Linked DNA regions of Mus musculus: all the other regions are reported to be linked to region 1. Evidence: microRNA targets listed by miRTarBase, many of them from high-throughput screens and not tested one by one. Region 1 holds a microRNA gene; each other region holds the end of a gene's coding sequence.

Region 1 (3,107 bases):
TTAAGATAGACTATTAGTATTCCCACAACTCAAGAGGCGAGCCCTCATGGATTAAACCAAGACTAGACTGGTAGAGAACATGTCTTTGTTCTATGTGATATATACATATTCCCACTTTTTAAAAATCATTACTTGTATCAGAAACCAACTCCTAATGTTAGTGGCTTCAACTAAGAAATATAATTTTTATTCACCGTAGTGTATTGTGGCTTCCTAAGTACCAGGCATTTGTTCAAAGACTTATCCTCCTTCCATCTGTGAGTCGCTCTTTCTTTTGTCAGCATGTTCTCTACTTGATAAAGCTGGTAGGGTTTCCAATAATGGTCCTAGAAGTGAAGACCTTGGATTCACAAACATTGCACTAAACAGATCTAATATATTTATACAACAGAGACTAGACAGTAAAGGTGACCTACGTGTTCAAGTTTGAGTGCAGAAGAGACCCTAACTACACAAATACTAACAGCCTGTGAAGAAGCAGAGCTAGGAAGTTGTCAGGAGTAGAAGCATATGTGTAGAGAAGATTATTTTCCCATATCCCATATCACCATACCAACTATGCAAAGCTCTCTTAAGAGTAAATTGATAGGGTCATAGTAACTAATACAGTAGCCCTTGAATAAAACATAGTTGCTCTAGACTGACAAGGTACAAGGGCATTTTCGTTGACCCAAAGGCAATCAAGAAATAATGTATGACTCTCTTGGCCTTTTTGCTGTCACTCTGTCGTCTTCTTCATGCTCCTCCTCTCTCCCCATTCCCCTCCCCCTCTCTCCAGGTGCTCATGGCTGGTCCTCTACTCTCTCTCTCCCTTTCTCTGTCTTTACTACCCTCTCAACTCCTTCCCATGCCCTGAATAAACTCTACTTTATACTAAAAAAAAAGGAAAGAAAGAAAGAATGTGTGTTAATAAACATGTTCTAAATTCTCACCTGGTAGTAGATAAGTCATAGGAATAAAGAAATTATGTGTGGGAAGGGGTGTAGGGGCTAGTAAGGTTTAAAACTGAAGCTGAATGCCTCTCTCAGCCCCTCAGAATACTCATAGACTCTAAAGAGGTAAAGGTTCTCATCCTGACTTGAACTTCTTTCTGCTTTCTCTTTTCTACTTGTTTTCCACAGTAAAGAGGCAACCCACATTGATACTGTTTCATCTGAAACACTAGGTATCTACAAAGGTCTGAGGTTTTTCTAGGCTATCTACTCGATCTGAAGTTGATGCTGGCTCACAACAGGGGCGTCACCTGAAAGTTAAATTGATGTTAGCCTCAGGAGACTATGAGGTTTTTGCCTCTAGTAGGGGGTGTTTATGGAGATGGTTGCTTCATCCACAGTGCCTGACCCTTTGGTCTCAACTGGTACAAACGTGAAGGCAAATCTCCTCTAGAGCAGATGTTTGAGCTGGAGTTGGCTGGAAAGTTGGGCAGCATTTTAACTCTGCACACTACCCACTTCCTCACTTCTTTACAGGCCCATATCCCATGCCCCAGAGCATCCTCTCATCAAAGTTCTTCTAGACCAGAAGTCCATTTTCAGGAGATGTGAATACAAACAGGATGAAACACAAAGTCTAAATAAATGTTGGTATTGAGACAAGGCAAATATTGCAGCCACCTATCCCTCTCTTATTGATCTCCACCCTCCTTCTGTGCAGGCTTATTTCCTGCTCCAAGGTGTGGATGACAAAAGAGATGGAAGTATGGGGGGGCGGGAGGGCACACAGAGGCTTTCATAAACCCTCTCTGCTTTTCTGCTGCTTCTCCTGTTCTTGCATATCCCCCACTTCTGCCTTCTGTTAATGCTAATTCAAGGTCTAAAAATAGATTTTTCTTCTTTGCAAGGCAGCATATAACATACTTCATCCTTTTCTTCTGTTCAAAGTTTGTGGTTTTCTCTGTCTGACTGCAATCTCCTTATGTTGTAAGAAAAAGTCTGAAAGGACAGTGCATGTGAGTGTTCCTGGGCATGCACACATGCATGTGTTGTGCATGTAGGTAAATTAAGTATATGCATATCTTGACACAATGCAAAAAGATTTAGGAACTTATTTGCACTTGGATTGCAGAGCACTGTGAAAGAGCTTGGAATATGATTAGGCTTCCTATTTTCCTCCAACTTCGGTCACCAGATCACATCATCTTCTAAAATTATCCAGGTATCTCAGATGCCAAAGAGTTTCCTGACTATAATTTTAAATTCATAAGCACCATTTCTCAAAACTACGTTTCCCGAAGGTTCTAGAGACCTGAGACTATAGCCACACACGGAGTGAGCATCTTCCACTCCAGATTGTTGTAGGTGTAAAATCCACAGGCAGATTGTCCCCCAGGAAAGGCTGCCAGCCAAGCCATTTCACTGGGGATGGAACTTGGGAGGATGGTGAGTCATGTAACTGAGAAGAAAGTGGCTGATGGCTAGAACATAATGAGCCAAACACCCTCTTAGGATGAGGATGGAAGACACACGTTTGTGGGCCACTTTCAGCCTCTCATAGCCTGCTGACTTTTGTTAAAAGTGTATCTCTAGCCCCACATTGTTAGAATTGTCACCAAGATACATTGCATGTTATATAAGAGCAGTGTCCCTGAAAAGTGCTTATGTGTTGCTCTTCCCCATCATTCCTTGGATCTCTCTGTCCTACAGGGAGTCCAGGAAATGAAGTCCTCAGCTGGGAGGCAGTCATTTGGAACTCTGTAGCTCCCATCCCAGGGCAGGGAATGCAGATGACCCTGGCCTTTCCTTGTTTGACTACACAATGTGATTTTTTTTCTCAAACACTTAAGAGAAAAGCATCGAGGAAAGCAAACCAGGTCCAGCAACTTCTTGGCTGCAGAGTTGTCCTACTTTCTTTCTTAGAAGTCACTGCGGCTCTTGCTCTCTTCCCAGTCACAATAGATGATAATAAGAGCCTGATTCCCTGTGTCTGCTCTCACTGAAGCCATGGGAGAAAGTAGCCTCTCTCTTCTCTAGGATCTTGGAGCACAAAACACCTTCCCCTTCATGCCTGATCAGGTTCTAAAGATCCACCTTCGGCTTTTCCTTCCCCATTAGCATACCCTCTCCACTTTGGCTTAAGAGCTTTCTGTAGTGGAATGCACCTTTAATTCC
Region 2 (3,107 bases), not on the chromosome of region 1:
CCTGTTTCTAGCCGGGGCATTTTGCAGTTCTTGCTTAAGGTATAGCTGCTGCTCACTGTCCCCCAATCACATGGAGGTGTGGCTTATCTCCTTCTTCAGGAAGCGTCCATTCTCCACCCACAGCCGCCTGACCACCCTGCCCCATCCTGCCCCTCACGAATTCTCTCAAACACAAGTGGAAGCACTTCAAGGGTATTCGGACCTTACTGACCAGTTTGCCAACCTGGTCCGGTATCATCTGGTCCAGACACCTAGTGCTAAATTGGTACTTGTAGAACGAATTAACAAAAAGGAAATCGCCAAGCATTGCAATATCGAGTCTGGTGTTATTATTTATTATTATTTTGGTTGAGGCAGAGTCTTAGACTCCTTTGCCCAAGCTGGTCTGGAATTTTCAATCTTCCTGCCTCAGCCTTCCATGAACTGGGATTACAGGCAGGAATTACCACCCACAGTAGATTGTCATATTCTTACATTGCACGATTCTGTGTCTATTTTAACTTTTATTTCTTAATTATTTTTTTATTTACTTTTTTACAAAGGTACAAGGAATTTAAGAAACATTCAAACAATCACTCAAACGGCTTCAGGCACGGTTTCATATGAAAAGCATAGGTCCGTATCTTGATTCCCGTTTCCCTCTGGGATACAACCTCAAGTTTTGTTCTAGGAAGCAGAATTATTGTAGAGCTAAGGTGGGTACAAGCTCATCTCCAAGCGTTCTCCCTCATTCACACAAAGTTCCTGAGTCATCAGAAAGAAAGCTCCCAAGGCAAGAAGGAAGGAGCCGAGGGCGGCTTTGCTGCTTGGGTGGTCACTGTGTCAGGGGGCAGTGTTGCTCCATTAGCCCAAGAACATAAAAACATAATCTTAAAAAAATATGACAAAATCTTCAAAAGAAAAAAAAGATGACAAATATCCCTCTCCCTTGCTATGAAATAATTTAAATAATTTATTCTAGATGTAAAAAAAAACCCAACAGAACAAGAAACAACATATAATTTTGTTCATAGCCACCTGTGACCTGTTCCTGAATGTGAGGTCTGGGTCTGGGTCCCTTACAGTGGGGATAGCTTTTTTTTGAGGGGATGGTGTTGTACAGAGATTTGATGGGAAGCTCACTGGACCCCACCCCTAGCCACACATAAGAGGCAGCCAGTGGTTTTGGGCTGGTGTCTTCACTATGTGGCCCTCCTGCCTTCTGAGCATGGGGTTGGAGCTTTACAGACTGACATGCTGGTCACAAATGAAAGGAGAGAGAGCGCGCCATCCCAGGAGCTCCAGATCCCTGCCATACTCGGGAGCACAAGGAAGGCGAGCATAGCTAGCTCATCGCCGGGCATAGAGTCCCAGTGTAGTGTAGGGATGGAGAATAAACCAAGGAGCACAGGACCCTGGTGTGTGCAGATACCAGCGACGGTGAGTGACGTGGTCGTGTGCGAGTCAGCTTTGTACTGCTTCCATTGCCAACACAGCAGTAGGATGCTAGCTAAAAGCGTCTCCATTCCCATGAACAGAAGCCACTCAGGCAGCTTGTTCAGAGGGCCGTACCCTCCACTGTAGGGTCAGCTTTAGTGGGCAGGTCTGGTCATCAGTATGTGCATCCAGTGGGGTGCTAATGGACGATGTGGGTCAGAACCTGTTAGCCTGGATAGCCCCTGAAATTCTCGCTTGAGCTCCAGCATGACCCTGAGTGATGGGGGAAACTATCTGTCCAGAGGGGAAGGGGGGAGGGGGGAACTCTGTCTGCTTGTCCAGGAGGTATGGGGGAGTGGGTACCTCCTGTGGTAAGCCTTGTCTCAAGTTCTCAGGCACCAGCTAGGCTTGTTTTGCACCAAGAAAGAAAAGAGCCTCAGAACCAGGCACAAGACACACAAGGGAGGGTCGCAGGCTTTCAGACCAGGTGCCATTTTCTCACCCAGTGCAGTGAACCAGAGCCCTTACTGGTGGCTGGCCATGGGGCTTTGCCACATCCAGTGCTGGGCCCCCCTACCTCCCAGAGGACTTTAGATACCCTGGGTGGAAGTCCGTTCCTGCCCTCTTGTAGTCAACAGACATGGACTCAGCTCTGAGGTCTGTGTCCCCACCTATGGGACGATCTACCCACATGTGGCTGATTCTGGTTGGAAGGATGGGTTTGGCTGCCTGCCTGTGGTTTAGAATTGGGCCAAATCTTCACTCTGGGAGGTCATAGCTCCTCACCAACCCTTAAAACCAGAATCCAGCAGAAGGTAGGGTATAATCTAAACCAGCCAGGGCAGGAACTGCAGATTGGAGAAGGCGACAGGAAAGCGGCACCACGTCCCACTGGGATCTCTTTCAGCAACTGAGAGTTTTGTTTTCCTGGTATAAAATATAGAAATAGTGGTTGTTCTCAGTGAATTTCGGCTCGGTGCTGGACCTCTCTCTCTCTCTCTCTCTCTCTCTCTCTCTCTCTCTCTCTCTCTCTCTCTCTCTCCACAGAGCCTATCGGTGTCCCTGAGGGCAAGGGTGGAGGAGAGCACTGCTCAGAGCTGTCCTAAGGCCATCCGCAGGTTTTTGATCTCTAGTTCCAGCTGCTTGGTCTGGACTTCTCTCTGGATTAACAGCTCCCGGAGCCTCCGGATCTCCTCCTGTTGCCGGTAGAACATCTGCAGCAGCTGTGAAGCACAGTGAAGAGGGAGAGGTCATCTGGGTGGCCGGGATAGGCCACAGCACAGAGGCTGAGGCACACACTTCTGACTTGGTGACAGCCGTTAAATTATTAGCAAGGGACAGTCACTTCTGAGCCGTGACGAAAGCCTTGCTTGCTTTACCCAACAGTGAAGTTCCGGTAGCTTGTTTGTATTCTATTTGTCCTTCCCAGATCCCTGAGGGGTAGAGCAAAGGCTCTTTGGACCGGAAGCCTGAAAACTTTTTTTTTTCTTCCCCATCACAGGACTCTATTCAATTTTAACAATGCAGCAGGATCTAGAATCACCTATGGAGTTTCTAGATTGATCCATCCTAACTGTGGGTAGCATTAACAAATGGGATGAGATCCTGGGCTGAAAGCTGAGTGCCAGCATCTATCTCTGTCCGCCTCCAGCTTGTGGATACCATGTAACCCGCTGCCCTAAGCTCCTGCT
Region 3 (3,107 bases), not on the chromosome of region 1:
TTACACACTGGTCTTCTGGCTCATCTCTTATCCAGGGAAGCCTTGGGTTCTTTTCCATGACTTGATCTGGCCCAAAGCCATGGAGACCTGTCCAAAAGTGTGGGTCCAAGAGGTGCAGTGGGATTTTTTTTTAATTCATATGAATGGCATCTGTATTCATTTTGAACAATTGTTAGCTCATTACACAAAGATATATTTTCACTCAAATCAGAGTACTTTGGAAGGCTAAAGGGTATTTTAAAAATTATGTTCAATGACAGGTGTTCTCTGGAACTGTTTCAAGCCAAGATATATAGTCAAGCTGTGGGAGATGAATGTCACTGGCCTTATAAGTTGATCGGATGGCTCAAAGAGTGAGAAATGTATTTATCTTTGCAATCCCTGCTTTAATAAGCAGCCTGCTGGCTCTGTTGGATTTCCCAGATAGATTGCACGCAGTTAATTGGGATTTGGGTTTCTGTATACAAGTCCTGATACTCCATATGTTACTGCATGGGCCAGGAGCTCGAGTATCCCACACAACCGCAGTGTCACAGACTTCCTTGTGCCCAAAGTACAAATGTCATACGTTCTTGGCTTTTTCCTCACTCTAACGCTTGGTACTTCTTTCTTCCACTCTCTCCAGAAAACCCTTTTGCTGTGCCTCAGGATGGAGGAGGCTAGACCCAGAGCACCTGGTGCAGCCTCCAAGAGCAGCTTCAACCAAGACACCGGGGAGAGCTGGGGCAGCGGCGTGGTAACGAAAGAGGAAGTACCACCTGTGCCCAGAACCCCCTTCCGTGAACTTCTGAGATTAGGAGCAAACTCAGGGTCCGGGGACAGGGTGCAGGAAAGGGGCTCTGAGCCACCTGTCTGCAAGCAATAGTTCTCTCTGGGGCTGGTGGCTTCTGAGAAGAGACTCCGTGTGGATTGAGGTGACCAACACTAAGCTGCTCTGGCTGATCCCAGCCAGAGGGATTTGGGGCCATGAGTTGTACCATGGTCCAAAACACTGACGTTTCCCCTGCCTCCATCCCCTCCAATAGCGGCCCCCTTAGGCCTATCCGTGTCGGAATATTGAACTTGAGTGTGTGCGCGCACGTGTGTGATCAGGGTGTTTCTATATGTTCAGTCAGTTAGCTTGTCATTGAGCCCCATTGCCACTGGCTGCAGGTTCTCCGATGAGCACAAGTTGCTGTGTGGCTGAGGAGTCTTGCCCGTGTCCTCGTTTGAGGCTCAGGCCTCTTGCTGTGGCCAACAACTGTGAACCAGTGGAGTCGGTAGGCACAGTGCCTAACCTTCCTGTCCATGCCGCAAGCAGTGGGGGACTGGAGCGTACCAGTGACAGGTGGTTCTGGTGGAATCTGTTCCCATGGCAGCTGTATTGAGGAAGCATCTTAACTGGCTGTGTGCGGCCTAGGTTGGATGTGTTGTTGTGTGCACCATCACAGCCCCTAGGAGGTGGGGGTGCTAATGTCATTGGAAAGAGTGCAGCTTGGTGAAGGGTGCCACATTTATATGGCAGGAAGTGATCAACTCCATAGTTTGGCCCCAGAGTGACAAGAACCCAAGCCCAAGTTTTGATTCCCAGGGTGTAACAGGCTCTATAACCCAGGTCCCCCAGTGTGGTCACTGGAGCAGGTGCCTGACATTTTCACAGTGAGTGCAGCACCTCCCCAGCTCAGGTCCTCCACTGTCTTTGCCTGAGCTCACTCTGGCCATGGGCCTGCTGTGCACCAGGCCAGGCAGTGGTAAGGTCCAGAGGTGGGTGGGAGCTGCCACACCTCGAACGGAGGAAACACAGCCACAACGATGGGTCCTATGGAAACCCAGAACAGAGGGTTCTATGAATCTGTCCACTTACAATGGGGGTTTCCAAGTAAGCCTGGGTGCCTGTAACATCTGCCCAAAGAGGTTATCTCTGCCCCAAAACCCACTGCCTGTGGCACCCAAAAGGAAGGACATCCCCCAGAAGTGACCCTGTCAATCTCCAGAGGTCACATTGGCAATGTAGACAGGGCCATCTCACCCCTATGAAGGAGGCCAAACTGTCCCTCCCTGCCCTCAGCCTGTGACCCATTCTTCCTGAAGCTGCATCCTTCCTTGATCAGTGCTGTCCCCACACGGTTGGTGGTCTTCCCTCCCCACACTGCGGAGAACAATAGGCAAAGGCAGCAAGGAAGGAAGGGCCAGCGTGGAGGTGTTCATGAAGACCACAAAGGTCTATCATGGAGGCCGAGTGGGGCTTGGGTGGTCAGAGATGTTTAAGCCGGGGTCTAAACAGGATCTAGCTAAGAGGAGTGAACCTGGGAAAGTTGCAGCCAATCTAGAGGTTCCTGCCTGCCAGGTTCCTAAAAGTAAACAATCCAGGGTGGCCAGGAGCAGCAGAGGTGAAGGGATGGATCCACCTGCGGGTCTCTGTGGTTACCGTAGTGATTCTCTGCAGTCACCATAAGGGCGTCTACACAGTGTGTCACCACTGACAGTGCTGGGTTCTAGGACATAAAACTCTTTCCACTCTGGCAGGTTCTTCATTCTTCAACCCACATGAGGGAGGGATGGCCCCATTTGTAGGCACGGAAGCTGTCACTCTGACGGCTCTAGAGGCCTATTGAGCCTGCTGGCCTCTGTCTCTGCACCCAGTCCATTTCTCTCAGACACACTGCTGGGTTCTGCACACACCCAGGAGAGCCTCTGCATCCATCTTGATTAAAGATGGGTGTGGATCCTCTCCCACATCCTAGGGTGTGGGGCAGCCATTGCCCTGGAGGGTTCTTAGCAGTGGACTGGCTGCATCAGGTCACACTTAACGCCTCAAGAGAGAGCTTCTGTAGGGAAGAGGATTCGGGGGCTATTAAGATAGAGATTCTGATAGCACCTGAGCAAAGTGATCACAGGCCCTCCTGCCTCAGTTTCCCCAGTACTGAGAGGAAGGAGCCCAACCAGATGTTGAGGAGACTTCTGGTTTGGGGTGGCTCTGGGTAACACTCTCGAAGCTGCTTGCACAGGGCTCAGAGCTACTTCCTCTGTGAAGCCTCCTTCCTCAGACACAGGAAGGGTCATGGCCATGCAGACAGCAGGATACTGGGTGTGTGTGTGGGGGGGTGGAGGTCCCCATCAGAGGCCTC

The links. Region 1 holds the annotated microRNA mmu-miR-1952 (UCUCCACCCUCCUUCUG, at 1,632-1,648, shown strand). A microRNA usually pairs through its seed, bases 2 to 8, with sites in the 3' UTR of a target mRNA and lowers its output. Matches are read on the target gene's strand: a 7mer-m8 pairs with bases 2 to 8, a 7mer-A1 pairs with bases 2 to 7 and ends in A, and an 8mer does both.
Region 2: the mRNA of Coro2a is a reported target of mmu-miR-1952. Seed matches in the 3' UTR shown: 7mer-A1 at 2,455-2,461.
Region 3: miRTarBase lists Shisal1 as a target of mmu-miR-1952. Seed matches in the 3' UTR shown: 7mer-m8 at 3,083-3,089.

The regions. Positions count from the first base shown.
Region 1 is chr2:138,818,312-138,821,418 of GRCm38, forward strand. Mir1952 (microRNA 1952) reads left to right here and starts at 1,618; the gene lies at 1,618-1,696.
Region 2 is chr4:46,536,629-46,539,735 of GRCm38, forward strand. Coro2a (coronin, actin binding protein 2A) reads right to left here. Exons shown (of 12, transcript NM_001164804.1): 12 at 309-2,639. The coding sequence ends at 2,508. Gm16731 (predicted gene, 16731) reads left to right here. Exons shown (of 4, transcript NR_151695.1): 2 at 543-695; 3 at 2,464-2,812; 4 at 2,918-3,107. Among named protein-coding and RNA genes, the nearest start is that of Trim14, 2.0 kb to the left of the region's middle.
Region 3 is chr15:84,381,911-84,385,017 of GRCm38, reverse strand. Shisal1 (shisa like 1) reads left to right here. Exons shown (of 5, transcript NM_001374162.1): 5 at 626-3,107. The coding sequence ends at 626. Among named protein-coding and RNA genes, the nearest start is that of Gm46527, 47 kb to the left of the region's middle.